Lepisosteus oculatus: one gene and its partner. The protein of the gene in region 1 purifies or fractionates together with the protein of each later gene. This does not show direct contact. Links are inferred from orthologs where the notes say so. Each region holds a gene or a part of one and is shown on either strand. Other genes may lie near its edges.

What was found.
Region 2: the proteins of marchf5 (region 1) and mfn1b purify together in Homo sapiens (affinity purification with western blotting; 4 studies listed by BioGRID, with this or other methods). This does not show direct contact. The link is inferred for Lepisosteus oculatus from reciprocal best matches to the Homo sapiens genes MARCHF5 and MFN1.

Annotation. Positions count from the first base shown.
Region 1 is NC_090699.1:23,826,687-23,833,923, reverse strand, and holds the start of marchf5 (E3 ubiquitin-protein ligase MARCHF5), read left to right. Parts: upstream 1-4,226; 5' UTR 4,227-4,567; coding exon 4,568-4,611; intron 4,612-7,237. Other genes in the region: cpeb3 (cytoplasmic polyadenylation element-binding protein 3), read right to left, coding at 226-1,115, 3,204-3,339. UniProt on the Homo sapiens protein: Mitochondrial E3 ubiquitin-protein ligase that plays a crucial role in the control of mitochondrial morphology by acting as a positive regulator of mitochondrial fission and as an important regulator of immune response.
Region 2 is NC_090708.1:1,648,613-1,656,358, reverse strand, and holds the start of mfn1b (mitofusin-1b), read right to left. Parts: upstream 3,020-7,746; 5' UTR 2,996-3,019; coding exon 2,930-2,995; intron 1,726-2,929; coding exon 1,602-1,725; intron 1,393-1,601; coding exon 1,257-1,392; intron 1,140-1,256; coding exon 977-1,139; intron 311-976; coding exon 186-310; intron 1-185. Other genes in the region: calcium-activated potassium channel subunit beta-3, read left to right, coding at 7,495-7,601. UniProt on the Homo sapiens protein: Mitochondrial outer membrane GTPase that mediates mitochondrial clustering and fusion. Membrane clustering requires GTPase activity. It may involve a major rearrangement of the coiled coil domains.

The DNA.
Region 1 (7,237 bases):
ATTTCCAAACCGGCATATGAATGCTGCTGCAATATTAATCCACGATTAAAATTTAAAGAGCTATTTATTCACCTATTATATGATAAATTTATAACGGGCACTGTGAGAATACGTATTTGAAATGACTGAAATGTCAGTGTTCTAGAGGGCAAAATATATACTGTATTTGCGTTAGGACTACATGGCAAGAAAACAGACAACGCTACGTTTCAGCGATGGGTTTACCTGAAAAGGCAGCATATTGTTGCTGTTGTCTGTTCTGAAGGCGCTGTCGTCCATCCAGGATTTGGGGGTCAGAGGGGCAGCTCTGGGGAACTTCGGCGGGGCAATGACATTGCTAGAGTAAGGTTTTTTCAGCGGGGAGATGGGGTTAAGGGGAGACGGCACCCCGACGCCGACCCCCACCCCAACCCCAACGCCCACTGCTCTCCGCGGGTCCCTGCCTGCCTGGAGCCCGCTCCAGGGGTTGGAGGCTGTGCTCCAAGAGGGATTCTGGTGATTATTCCAAGCGGACGAGGAGGCGGAGGATGAAGGAGCCTTGCTGTTCATAAGGGTCTGGTGGCTGTAAGCATTTCTCTGGGGGAACGGGGCTTGGTTGGGACTTACGGGTGACCTCCTCTGCTGCTGCTGCTGCTGCTGCTGTTGTTGTTGCTGCTGCTGCTGCTGCTGTTGTTGATGCTGATTCTGTGCCAAGCCGATCTGGGGTGAGAATGTGCCCCCGAATACCGGGTTAACGTGGTGGGGGAAATTCTGGAAAAGCATTGTCCCATTCACCGGGGGTATCCCTTGGAAAAAGCTATCGTCCACGGCGTTCGTGGTCCCGGTAGACCAAGTGCTGCCGAAGGAAGGGGACACGGAGGTGCCGCCGGGCTCCTGTGGCTGGTGAAAACTCAACCCCGGCAGGATCGGCGACTCCATCGGCACTTTCTCTTTGCTGCTCTGGGGGGTCGCTGCCTGGCTGATGACAGTCGTCGGGCTCTCCTCCGATTTGGGGGGTTCCGAGGAGGGGGTCGGGGTGGTGGAAGGAGGCTCTACGCTTGCTGGATCCTGCTGCTGCTGTTGAGGCTGGGCTTTGCTTTTGTCCATCAGTAAATCATCCTGCATGGTTTGCTGAGCTGTAACAGGGAAAAACAAAGACGAGTTATTACGGAGGTTCTCATGAGCCACAGTCGCCAGGCTCCTATGGTATTTGGCCAGCAAGAACCCGGGGAGGGGGTAGTTGTTATTATTGCTACCAGTAATGCTGGGACAAGCCGACTGCAAGGCAAATCCGGAATCACCCATTTAGCAGAAACTACGAACTGCCGGTATGATCGCGCTAACTGTATTCTCTCGCATGAAAGACTTATCGGCTTCACCCTTTCAGACGCCTCCGTTCCCCTCAGCAGTGAATGGGAAGATATGCTTGGAGGACACAGATATTCACCAATTTTCGCCACGTCTCTTTTTCCCTTTTCACCGGAACTCCAGACTGCAATGTGAAACTGATTCTTGTTCCTGTTTTTTTCTAGGACCACCCCTAAATTCATTTGCATACGTCAATAAATACAGCTGCGTCCTTCAGCAAGGTTAAAGAGATACACCACCCCCCATTTCACAATCAGGGTATTTAAAGGGACAGGTGACGGATATCTCAATAACGAAAATAATTCAACCTTGCGCTTTTTTTAATTGAAAACAAAACTGTTAGGTCAAATCAAACAGTTGCCTGACACCAAAAACATTGCAGGAAAATAGCTTGGTCATACCAACGTAGTGCTGAGGGAATGAAACTAAAAAGAAAAGATCGAGAATGTGGCGAGAATGAGATAATCGTTATTCTTTGTTAAATAAAAAAATGAGATGGCTCCACAATAGGCACATTTGAATGACGTGGTTTTGTCAAGAAGAGCACAGAGCTTGTTTAGATCTCGGATGAAATATTTACCCTATGCAAAAATACTGATTAGAAATGCTTACATAATCAGGCCTAAGGAGAATGGTTATTTCGTATCCCAGCTCTTATCCTTGTATTCCTCCTCAATGAAAGGGGTGGGGATGGGATTCAGGGAGTTGCATTTAAAAATATTAGCAATTCGATTTAATTTCCCCAAGTTTTCTTCTCTTGAAATCCCAATAAATTATTTGTTTTTTTTAAAAAAAACAATGGTTACTCCCATTTCATTATCTTTCCTGGTAAAACATGAGTTCCGAAGCCATGAATTTTCAAGATCTAATTAACGTAGATACTTTAGTGACACCCGCAATTTAACCCCTTCCTAAATATGAAGGGGAACATGAGCTATAGCTCACATTCCCACATTATTAAGACTATTATTAGATTGCACTATTTGGCACATATATCGAAAGCAAGTAAACATTCCCCTAAACTAAAGTCACTTGTACTATATTTGTAAGGGTTTTTTATTGACGTTGTTGCAAATTAAATGACAGAAAAATAATTCAATATATTGTTTTAGTTAGAGATGATCTTCAAGTCGTTGGGGGTATTTTCTAAGAAAGGCAAGGCAAATCGCTGCGATTAAAATTAGACCTCACTGATCTCTCGAGCAACTGCAGCAAATGGTTAACCCAGACGTCAAACTAGACGGAAATTCTTATCTACTTTGCATATTTAAAATGTAATCCCGAAGGTTATGAAAATATTCATTATAAAAATAAATGACACCGTGCTTAACAAGCAATAAAATCGCTCGTGAACAGTATGAATTGTGTTGTATTGAGTTCTCTAGTGGTTTATAAACTAGTAAAATAAATACTGAGCCGGAAAAAAAATTACGTTATAATTATGTAAAAATGCGTTATGTTATCGATTTTCGTCGGTTGCATTTCACAGAAAACATTAAACAATTTCATATACAAACTGGTAAACATCGTACAGCTCGCTTCTCCATAGCTAATCCTTGTTTTTCCTGTCGCTACAGCAGCCAAACCAAGGTCACCAAACGTTTTGAAAGTAAAACAGCAATGGGATCTTTATACAAACTTATTTACAATAAGTACACTCTTTGTAAGAAGCCGCACACAGACATTATTAGAAATACAATACACAATCTATACGTATACAGAACACGTAGATATATCTTCATTTTCAGTTTTTTTTTAAATCCGGCATTCAACTGATGTTTTTTTGCTTTAAAAAACATCGTTGACTGTCATGCACTGCGTGGTACTTCTACAGTTTTCAAGAAACGAGGCTTTACCTTTTTCGTTCACCTTTTGGGGTTCTGTAAATAGGGCTATTTCTGTTAGCCTCGGCTGGGCTTGGAAATGACAAATGAGCTGCTGCCGAGGTAGAGTCAGCAGTAGCTCTAACAGCTGATTGACTCGGCGGCGCATGGGTGAGACTGAAGAGATTGTAGGGATTTGTAGTCCTCTGTTGCGCTGCGGTAGTATCTACGACTTGTTAAGTTGTATGAGCGAGAAAGTGAGCTTGATTATCACGGTTCTAGTATTACTATTGTCCCTACTTGGATTTATGTTGTCCAGCTTTTACAAGTTTTAAGTTACGTCAAGAGTGTATTTAAAGTATCTTAAGTGTATATAGGCTAAGGCTGAGGGGTTCGGTCTGCAAACCTCTTACTGTAATTCAAAAACGTCCCCGAGACTCAGAGATAAAACCAATTGATGTTAACGTTTTTTAAAATCATTTGACATGCAGTAACGACACACCCGATTTATTCGTTAGGTTTTTGTGTTCGTGAATGTTATTAGACGAAATAGAACATAGCAATTACTTGATAGCTGCAAAAGGAAGAGATGCGCAGTAGAAATACGTGACTGTGTTTTCAGTGAGACTGGAAGAGTCACGGGACACTCCGATGACCGGGAAAAATAGCATGATTTTTTTAAGTGAACAAATTTCTATATTAATACATACGTTGCACTGAAATCCCCGCAAACTGCACACAAGAAATCAAGTAATTAAGTTATCGACAAGCAACGACAAGGTGATTGTTATGACAATTGTTATCATCTATAAAAAGAAGGCAGTGCCCTACCAAAATAAGACGTATTCTGAAGCCATATGTGTATCTTCATGCTTCTTGTCATCCCAAGCAGGCGTCGAGCCTCCGGGCAGACACGAGATAGAGCATAAATTTGTGTAAATTAACACGATGTAAAACGATAGGAAATCGGACTACATATCCCAAGCTCCCAGCGAGTGTGCCATTTTCCGGAGGTTGCTCCGGCAGCTTGTTATTATTGGTGACGCAGTGCGCATCGCTGTCGTCCCCTTGTTACGTCACAGAGGTTGGCAGTCAATGGAGTCAAGCAGTTACAACGACGTGATTACATTCATAACAAAACAAAGTATCATTCGGCAGGGCCACAATCTGGATGTGGGAATTAGTTCTTTGGGATGATAGATGGTCCTTTTTTTAGTAGTCGTTATTTTTTGCAACTGAAGATTTTTTTTAGCGTTGGAGTTTTGATCGCGTCCGTGTGCTTGATTTAAGCCTTGCGCTGGCAAAGGCCCCGTTTTTTTTGTGATAGAGACATTACGGGCCTCTATTCAGTATTAGGTGTTGTAGAGGAAGAGTGGTTTTTAAAAATTGATACCGACATGGCAGACCAGAATTCTGCGGTCGTGCAACAGAGTTTCGACAGGTGGGTAAAAACATGCATGGTTTATTTAATAACCTGTGGCTGCATGCTCCGAGAAGCCTTCGGGATGCATTCCTGAGCTGTTTCACAAGGTTTAAGTCATTCACATTACAAACCTCACTGATCTGCAGCTTAGAGGTCAGGAATAAGGAATTGCAATTGGCAGTTGAACACAATAAACTATAATTCTGAGTCCTAAAGACCTGTGCATGTGGATAAAAAGGGGTCGACGCTTTCCTGGGCAGTAGAAATATGGAAGTGCTCCGTATTTCGTTCCTTCTTCTAAGCTCCTGTCGGAAACAAATGAGGTAGTTGATAAGTTTGTTGCACGATTTCTCACCGCTTTACAGGCTGTATGGTGTGGTTCGGGAATGGCATCCCTGAGTTATAACGCGTGTTTCCAAAGGCGTCCTGGACATATACTGTGGGTTGGAGCAGCTTTAGCAAGGATGTCTAATCCTGGTCCTGCAAGGGTCTGGTGTCTGTTAGGTCTGCAAGGTCCCTTGAAAACAGCTGCACCCGAAAAGCTGGGGAAGCTGTTAAATTGGTCGAGTTAAGCCAGTTACTAAGCTAAACTGTTTAGTAGTAGTAGGTTTATTCCATGCTGAAAAGAGAAGAAATACAAAAACAGCTGAAACGTTGTTTTCTTTCTTCTCTTTTCAGCATGGAATAAACTTATTACTTGTTCCTTTGCAGCCTACGCATGCTGACGCAGCTCCCCACCTAGACTGTTTAAAGCCGAACTTGCATTATTAACCCCGGAGGCAAAATCTGCTCTACCATTTGCTACGGAATCTTAAAGTATGGGGTCATCTGTCCAGTACGAGCATGTCTGACAGATCTCACTGCTCTGGTACTCTGGTACCATCATGCTCAGTGTGGTACCTGTCATCAGTGCTCATCATGATGGTAGGGCCATCATGCTAAGTGTGGATACCTGTGATGATCAGTTCTTTCTATGCTCAATGCTGTTTCCACCATAAAAAAGTCTTGTAGAGATTGAAAATGATTGTGCGCATCATAAGTGACCTTACAAGTATTCTATATTCTGCTTTTTCATTGCCGAGAACAAAGCAGTTTAGTCGCTTCATAATCCAAGAGAATCGTGTACAGAGTCTATAGTAGTGTAGACCATAATTTATTTGAAATAAGCACCTAGTTGCTGTCTAGGGCCCAGAAGATCTTTGTTGATGTTGCAAAGTGGTTTTGCTTCACTGTAAGGACCAGTTGCTATTGTCCTTTGTTGCTGTAGTTCAATATGGATGATCTTGCACATGTCTACAGTTTTGTGAACTCTTTTTGAATCACACCAAATGTTTCTGTCATGCTGGATAATGTCAAAGAACTTTTATTAGGACCTGTCATGCTGGTTGCTCTTTAGTTTCCAGGAATTGACAACCTTTTTCTCAGTCTGGTCTCCCACATTACCCATTTTACCTTGTAATCAATGGCCTCAGTAGGGCCTAGTGTATGGTATACTGGTCATATAATATTTTCAGGAGTAGCACTGTGTGTTGCTGGAAATAAGATGTGACTTATGTTAAAGTTTTCTGTTCTACTTGTAGATTACTGATTTCTACTCTTTAAGAGTTTGCAAGGATACTTTTACTTGATTTAAATGTAATTAGTCTAAATCTTCTTGCTGGTTATGTTGACATTGAAAGTGGTGTCATTACAATTATTCTTTTAGGGGTTCAAGCTTCAAAGTTTGTATACTTGTACCAGTTTAGTACTGACGAGTGTTGTATACATATCACTCATGGAGTATGGTACAGGGATTGAACTTTGTATCAGGCAGTACAAAGTTAAAATGATTTGATTGGCCTTTGTAGAATTCAGGAGTTGTTTACATTTCCATCATGCTAAGACCTTCATTGATTTCTTGAAAAATACTACATAGTACGTTACAATTATGAAGGTTATTGTCATATGTCTGAGATTAGGTACACTAAAATAAATCTATAACATTTTCCTATTTTAAAATCATTTTAAATCTAGTGAAAATGATCCAAAGCAACTTGTATCAACTGCAGATTCATATACTTGTGAAAATCTATATTTCCTGTGTAGCAAAATGGAATATATCAACCGTTTTGTATTGAGGAAATTAGAATTGGTAATTGGCGTTATCTGTTTTGAGGTTTTCACCTTAGACATGAATATTCATTTATATTTTTGGCATCTATGTTTGGAGGTCAAGATTTTAAGAAAAGTGGCATGGTTATCTACTTCCAATTCTGAAATATTTTCTTTCAGAAATAATTTCTTCTTCTCTCACCTCTAGTTTCTTGGTTATTGCAGTTCTGTGCAAATCAGCTGCAGGAATACCAATAAAAGCAAGGCCTTCGATTTCTACCCTGGACACAATTCTAACATATTTTTGATTTTAACTACAGTGCCCTCCATATTTATTCATATTTCTCCTGACATAGAATCAGAAACATAATCTAGCAGAATGGGTTATGGATTGGATAATGTCTCACTTCTGTACTGTAATCATAATGCATTGCACATGCAAAGTCATATTTATCGTAAAGAATTGAATGCCAGAGAACAAGAGGGAACATGAATTTCATGGTTAAGGTCAGAGAGAGCTCTTCGAAGACAGCAGACTCCGCAAGATAGGGAA
Region 2 (7,746 bases), on another chromosome or scaffold:
TAAAGCACCCTTGCTTGTTCTTCTTAGCACACCAGCTGAACAGGAATGACAGGCCAGGAGAGGCCTGGGCTCATTCTGCTCTCGGCACATGTGGTCAAGTTCAGGCACTCAGCAAACAGACTCGAGAGGGGAAGGGGGAGTCTTGCCTGACGCGAGTGGCCCTGGCCTCGGACCGGGCACTATACCTGTCCACCAGCACCAGGTCGTCCCTCAGAAGGGCACACTTCGCCTTGGGCCAGAAGACCTTCACCAGGCAGCCGCAGTCCAGGCTCTTGTCCATGTGCAGGGCGTGGGCGAGCTGGTTCACGGTCTGCTGGCGACAGGGAGGGAGCGGGGAGCGGGGGGCAGACAAAGGGATGCTGAACACTTTTTTTTTTAAATCCTGTTACTTAAGTTCATATAAAGCACTCACAGGACTGAGCAGAACACAGACAGGCCTCGGTTACATCCATCGTGATTTCAGTACAAAATAAAGTCACTCCAGGCATCAACTGTGCCAGATGAAGCCAACCAACATCAGGTGGTGACGTACCCTGCCCCGACAGGACAGCCTCTGATCCCAAATTTATATCCCCCTTCGGGCTCAAAGCACCTCTCCCACCTCCCAGGACTGCACCGGAGTGCCGGGCGGAATCACACTGCTTGCACCGCTTGCCAGAATAATATCAACCCTCCTCAAGCTCTTAAGCCAGGCAGGGCCTTTTCCGAGCTTCTCAACTCTTGCGGAGCAGCGCACCACGACGCCCGTGCCCAGTTCCCCTGAGGGGGCCCCGGAGTGACCCCTGACTTCTGCCGTGTGGCAGCTGGGGGGGAGGGGGGAACCCGGTACCACTGTGCGCAGGACAGCGCCGCCTTTCAAAACCTCGCAGGCTCCCACAAGGCCCCGGCTGACACCGACGTGCTTTTCCGAGGGTACAGGGGCAGCAGGGCTGGGAACGCCCTCAGCGCCAGCTCCCGGACACTCGGGCTGCCGCACCTTGACGCTCTGCTCCTCCTCCGAGCCCTCGGTCTTGAGGTAGGCCTTGTCCCCGTCTGTGCCCTCCACGCTGAGGAAGCAGTTGGTGGTGTGGCCGATGCCGCTGGGCAGCACGCGGTCGCGCAGCATGGCGTTGATCACCGTGCTCTTCCCGTTGCTGGTTCTGGGAAAGGAAACGAAGCCGCGGGGGGTCAGGCGGGCGCCGGCGGGCGCCGGCGGCCTCCGCACTCGGGGGGGGGGGGGGGGGGCACGCGGAGGAACAGCGGCGCGGCGCCTGTACCTGCCGAAGAAGGCCACCTTCATGTGCCTCCGGGCCAGGACCTCGCTGATCACGGCGATCTTCTCAGTGTCCGCCTGGATCCGCGCCCGCTGCTCCGCCGTGGCGATCTGCTCCAGCTCCTCGGTCCGGCAGGTTTCTGGCAGGAGCAGACCGAAAAGCTTCAGGCACGTCTCACGTCTCTCCTCCCGCCTCCCCGCCCAGCTCTAAGGTTTGTAGCCAACGAGGACGGCCCTGCTGTGGCGGCGCACTCGCGCGCCCAGCGATTGGTTTAGCGCCGGGATGGACGCAAACTCCAGCACCTGCAGCACGGCCAAGATCCCGACTCCTGCGGTCCTCTTCCCTTACCTTCCAGGAATGCCGCTCCTTCGTTGACATAATCCAGCAGCTGCTGGAAGATGGAGCTGATCTTCCTCTTCGCCAGCACAAAGTGCTTCAGGGGGGACTGGTCTCCTTGCTCCATGCTGCTGTCCTGAAAAGCAGCCAGTTCGACACTACGTGAGGGACTGTGGACATCACAGCTGTGTCCCACAATAACAGGCAAACAGACTAAGTCTCTCTAGTTGGAAGGGAGTGTCCCACACTAACAGGCTGGAGGAACTGAGTCTCTTTAGTCTGAAGGGAGTGTCCTGCACTGACAGGCTGGAGGAACTGAGTCTCTTTGGTCTGAAGGGAGTATCCCACACCGACAGGAACTGAACCTTTTTGATCTTGAACAGAGAAGACTATCAAGCGACCTGATTCAAGTATTTAAAATCACTTACTGAGTCAAGCCTGTGGATTTCTTTCAGGATAACCATGGAAACACAAATCAGAGAACACAGGTGGACGACGCACCATAGTGCGTCTAAAACTGAGAACAGGAGGTCCTTATTTACCCAAAGGGGTGAGAGAGTCTGCAACAAGCTTATAGATTGGATCATGTTTCTCACTTTAAAAAAATTGTAAGAGGCCATTAACTATTGCTATTTGGTCGGAATGATTTGGGACTCCACAAGCACAAAGAGTCAGAGAATTGCTCATAATTGTACATTAATTGTGCAAGAAACATGACTGCACTGCTACAGCAGGAACAGACCCATGAGAAAACTAGAGAATTCTGTGCCATACAGAGATCTGGACAGGTAATGTTAAGCTCTGGTTTGTGGGTGACCTCGTGACACTGGCTTATCTCCTAGGATGCATAAGTAAGGTCACACACACACACACACACACACACACACACACACCCTGTGAGAGTGTGTAAACACAGAAGAGCACTGGGAAACACACTCTTTACAGCCCCACCCATCTCACACACCACTTGAGCAGACTGCGGGGGAAAAGGTTTTAGTTTCGCTTCTGTGTAGTATCTCTTTCCAAGTCTGTCTCTCAAACTTACAGAAGGTTAGAATACTAAAGCAAATAAAGTTGATAATCTTGGGGTTCAATAATACTGTGCATCCTTCCCCAGTACCAGACGAGCACAGAAATAGCACCCCTGACCTGACCGAGTGACGTCTGCACTGCAAAGGGAACAGCTGGCTAATCCCCATCTATTTTAGTACCTTGTTTCTGTTTACACTTCACAAGCAGGAAAATCACAAAGCAGATATTATAAAACAGAAAAGGAGCGTTTTCAATGGCCAGTTTTAGATGTCCCTAGCACGTAGTAAGAAAAAAATGAAAAAAATTACCTTGCTTATTTTTAATACTGTAGCAATCATGGTCTCTGGGTCTTTAAAAGTCATCATGAATAACATTTAAAGAATATATATTATACAGCTATTTTTAAAGCATAGCTTGTGGTTATCAGACACTTAAAGGCAAAAAAGCGTCAGTTTGAAGTGTTGAAACTGGTGCTATCACACAAGTCTTCTAGTATGAGGTAGGCGATGTACGTGACGACAGCGCTTCACCTGTCCTACGTCACACTGGAAAAGTTGCAGACATTGCTCGGTTCAGACCCAATGATATCTTTATCCCGATAGTTAAAGAATTTCAGAACCGAATGATTATGCAGACTTGGGGAAAAATAGACAACTCGCGGGAAAACCTGGCTGTGCAAAGCAAGGCTTAATTTTTCAGAATATCCCTCATTCCTTCATGTAGCGCTAATTAATGACCCGGCAAGTATCCCAGACTAATTTATTCCCCTTTCCTGAATTCTCTCCCTGTCTCGACTGGGGCCGGACGCCTTGGTCAGACACAAGCTTCATAAACAGGAGATTAACAAGAAAGACACAGAGGCCTGTGTTTTGTTTAGATTTCTTACCTTGGAACCGCTCCGGTATTATCAGTACTGGAACTTTAAAACTACCCAGTTGAAGATTTAAAACTGAAACAAGACCGCACGCCCGAAACGAAACGAAACGAAACCGTATTCCTGTTAACAAAACTGCCTGGAAGCAATAAAAAAACTAAACCGGGCTACAGGATCTTCAAATGGTGACAGCCAGCCAGTTTTATGCACCTAAACACCCTCCTCGCCATGAAACTGCCACCGTATCTGTGCGCAGTGTCTCCTCACATTCTCATCACTGTTCGGAACTGCAGAAAACCGCAACATAGCTCCTGCTATACCTGACAGAGCTGAGATTCCGCCTCCCTTCGTCTATCCTGATCTCCGGGCCTCCTCACAGGCAGCTGCGGCTGCTCATACTCCGCGGCCAGTGCGGTGTTGTCGAGCCGGACAGGTCGCTCCGCTCCGCTGCTCGGTCAGAACTCGGCCCGGCCGGGGAGGCGTGACTGCGGGGTCGAGCTCACGGGCGCACCGCGTTAACCGTCCGGGAGGGAAACAAGAGCGCAAGGCGTAAACCGTCCGGGGCGGGAGGGACAAGAGCTCAAAGCACCAGAGGCATGCCCCCCCCCTGGCGGGCGCAGCGTGTCACTGCTTCTTCTAGCGACCCCGCCGGCGCTGTGAAGCGCTGCAGTGTTCAGCTCAGTTCAGTTTATTTGTCATATGCACAAGTGCAACGAGATGCTTACGTTTAAATGTCATTACCCTGACCTTGGGCGCCGAAATTCACCTCGACAAGAGGGGTTAGTGAGCCAAAAATATTGTGAACCACCATTCGCAGCTTTAAAAACAATCTTTCAAAGACCGGAATCGGTTTTCAACCAATAAAGTGAGTTGCACGGGTGGGCCCGTATCGCCACAGAGCGCTTTTTCAGAGTGATATTGCAGTTAACAAGAAAATCGTAGTATTTGCTCACCGATCCTTGAACTGCCCATCCGCGCTAGACTCTGATATTACAACGTAAACACAGGTTAAAGTCATATTACATTAATACAACCCACAGAACGGTGTCTCACTGGCCGGGGCGGCGCTGCCCTCAGCCCTTGGGTCCTCTGTGTGAATCCGGTCTTCTGTGCAGAGTTTGCATGTTCTTTCCCTGTTCGTTTGGGTCTTCTCCTCTCTTTCTTTCAAAGACACTGGTGCGGTACAGCGCTGTCCCTAAATGGTCCCTGCGTGAGCGCTGTAGCGGACTGGGCTCAGTCCAGGAGGGTGTACTCCTGCCCTGGTCCGTCTGGTTCTGAGCAAGAGCGCCCATGTCACAGATCGCTGTCAGGCGGGAACAGCAAGCATCTTGAGAAAATGAAGGGAGAAGTTATTCACAGTTCATCACTCCTTCTTCGTGACGTTCTTCACAATCGTGTTTCCCTGTTTGAAAAGGTGCCCGTGTGGCCTCAAGCGGAACGATAAGGCACTGTCCGGAGAAAACCGTCCTGCAGGCATGCACCTTTTTTACAGCTGTGAGTCGCTTAAAACGGACTCTGCTACGAAGAGCGGTACTCGGAGCCAAACCTCGGCTGTTCTCCGTGTGTACCGATCACTGCAGGCCCTGCAATGGAAGATGTGTCGCGGGTCCCTTCCCCAGCTCCGCTCTTTAGAGGAGTCTGGCCACAGCGCCCAGCAGGGCCGGATACGAACCGGTTCTTTGCTCTACAGTCCCGAGGTCCAGGGCACGGGCTCGCCAGGTGCTTGGGAATGTTTCACTCAATCGCATGTTGCAGTTCAAACGATATCAGCTGTCCCACATCTGGCAGATGAAAACGGAGAGGATGAGTTTGCCGGGGGAAAAAATTGATGTTTCCTCTATGTCTTTTCAAGTCTTCTCAGGTGGATGACACCACTTTATTAACATAACATCACTTTATTAGGCCTGTTATTTCCCCGAAATAACACATCTGTAAAAGAACGAGGAAGAAAGTCACTGCCTTTTGTTCTCGGCGGCCTTGGGACAGATGCGAATCGATGTTTTTTTTTTAATCAGAGCCTGCCTGTTAGCGCCTTCACAAGAGATGTTGGAAGCTACAGATTATAGATCAAGTTTTACACTTTAAAATATTAGGGACATGTTAATGCTTCTTCAATAACCCAGTTGGCTTTTTCCATCTTTATACATGTGCAGGCGGTGATACCCATCTGGGGACACACAGCAGTCCGATTCTGCAGCACACAGCTTTTACATCACTCCTGCCTACGGCAGCAAAAACTGATATATCTTCGTAAAATCTGCATGTACAGCAAAGGTCTGCGTGCCCTTCTGTTATTTTGATATCTTTTTTCCCCCTGCGAGCAGCACCTGCACAAACACATTTCATGCATTATTAAACAGAGGGATATTGTCAGGGTGAAAGTTGGATTTGAAACTCCAGTCTGCTGAAGCCCTGGCGGTTTGGGAGATCGAAGCCCGGGAAATGGGAGAAACAGGACTAAGTTCGCTGGAACCTTGAAAAAACCGAGAGAGATCGCCTGGGCTGAAGTCCTCCACAGCAGCGCCGATGACACTGCCCATGTAAGTGTGCCGGTTGCTGACAGGGCTGGAAAGATAGTGCTGCGCCCAGTTCCGTCCATGTCCGAGAAATGTCACAGTTATGTTGTTTGCTTTGTCTTATCATGAAGCACGCAGTGACAAGAACGAAGGCACTAACTGTAGGCAGCTGGAAGGATCTTAAAATCTGTATGCATGCATCAGTTCTCTTTCAACTGCTGCGGAAGACGTTGCGTTGCGCTTCGCGTGTGCCGGTGAACTAAAAACCCTCGACAGTTACAGTACGTTCGCTGGTTTTGCCTCTCCTGCGCTCTCTGCGAGCAGTTAAGAGAGATTTGAGCGCCAGGGGAAGGTGGTGATGTGTCTTGACCAGCTTCAACACCTTGACATGAAGAACCTCAGCGTGACAAACAGATCGTTAGGCGGTTGCTGAAAGCAGGAATGAAGTTCGTGGTTGGGTATGAAGTGAAAGGACAGGATAGAAAGAGCGTTATTGCCTGGGATCTGAGTTAATAGGTACATTAGACCCTGTTGCTGTTTTAACCCATAAACCCTCTCTAACTGTCGGGCAAAGCAAAGATTTCAGGACAAAAATGGAAACAAAATTACGTCTCTTCCACTCGAGTATTTTACTGTTGGTATGCAGTTTGCTTTTGCTGCAGAATCTGAAATTTCAGTCTGAGCCGGAATATCTGAGGGAGTTGTAACCTTTTGCACACATTATGCCCGATTCGTCTGGTAGCTGCATCACCTATTGTGGAGATTAATTAACCTTCTGTTCTGAACATAGGAAACGGGACAAAGGCTTTCGGCCCATCTAACCGTTTGGTAGTCAGTATGTTGGTGATCGGAGGATCTCATCCAGCTGTTTCTTGGAAGAGGCCAGGGTACCGTCTTGAACAACATGGCCGAGCAGCTTGTTCCACACTCCCACACCTCTGCCTCTCAGCTTGAAGTACACCTTCGAGTAGTTTCCACCAGAGTCTTCCGGTTCATGTCGCTCTGCTCATCGGAGACGTTTGCGGGGTTGAGCTTGTTGAAGGCTTGTGCCTGGTCGCCTGGTCGCCGGCTCTGTCCAAGGCGCAGACCGGAGGAGCCCGTCCTCTGCCCGTGTGCTGTGTTTTTGAACAGCGTCCCCCCGGTGGGGGGGCAGTGCAGTGGTCCCTCTCGTTCCCTTCTCCTCCTCGCACGCAGCAGGAGCTAATCCCTCGTAAACATGGAGCACAGGACACGCACGTCTTGAGGAAAGGAGTCTCCCTCCGGGCCTGTAACAGCCCACGGGGCATCGTTAGCTGGCTCGTCTGTTGGCGTTCCTATAGGAACCCGGGCGGTTGCCGCGGCAGCCAGGCCCAGGTGAGGGACAGGGTGCGAGCCGCACCTGCAATCCTCCCGTCAGAGGCTCCACGCCTCTGCGACGCACTTCATCCGGGCGGTAGCGTGTGTGTGTGTGCTCCGCCGCGGCAGGGCCGGGGTCCGCGTTGCCATGTCCCAGCCGGGAGCGGACATGTCTCTCCAGCCGGCGTCGCGCAGGGGGTCCTGCGGAGTCCCGGTCCAGATCACGCTGCAGTGCGCGCGCAGACGCTTCACCAGGTAGGGTAACCACTCTCTCTGCCTTCTCCGGCTCTTCCGGAGAAGTCCTCTCCCCCGCCGCCCCAGACTGCTCGGCCCCCCATTCGTCTTTCGTCGTTTCGTGTTCTTCCCTCACCTGGCCTGAGCACGGCGAGGGCCAGTCGCC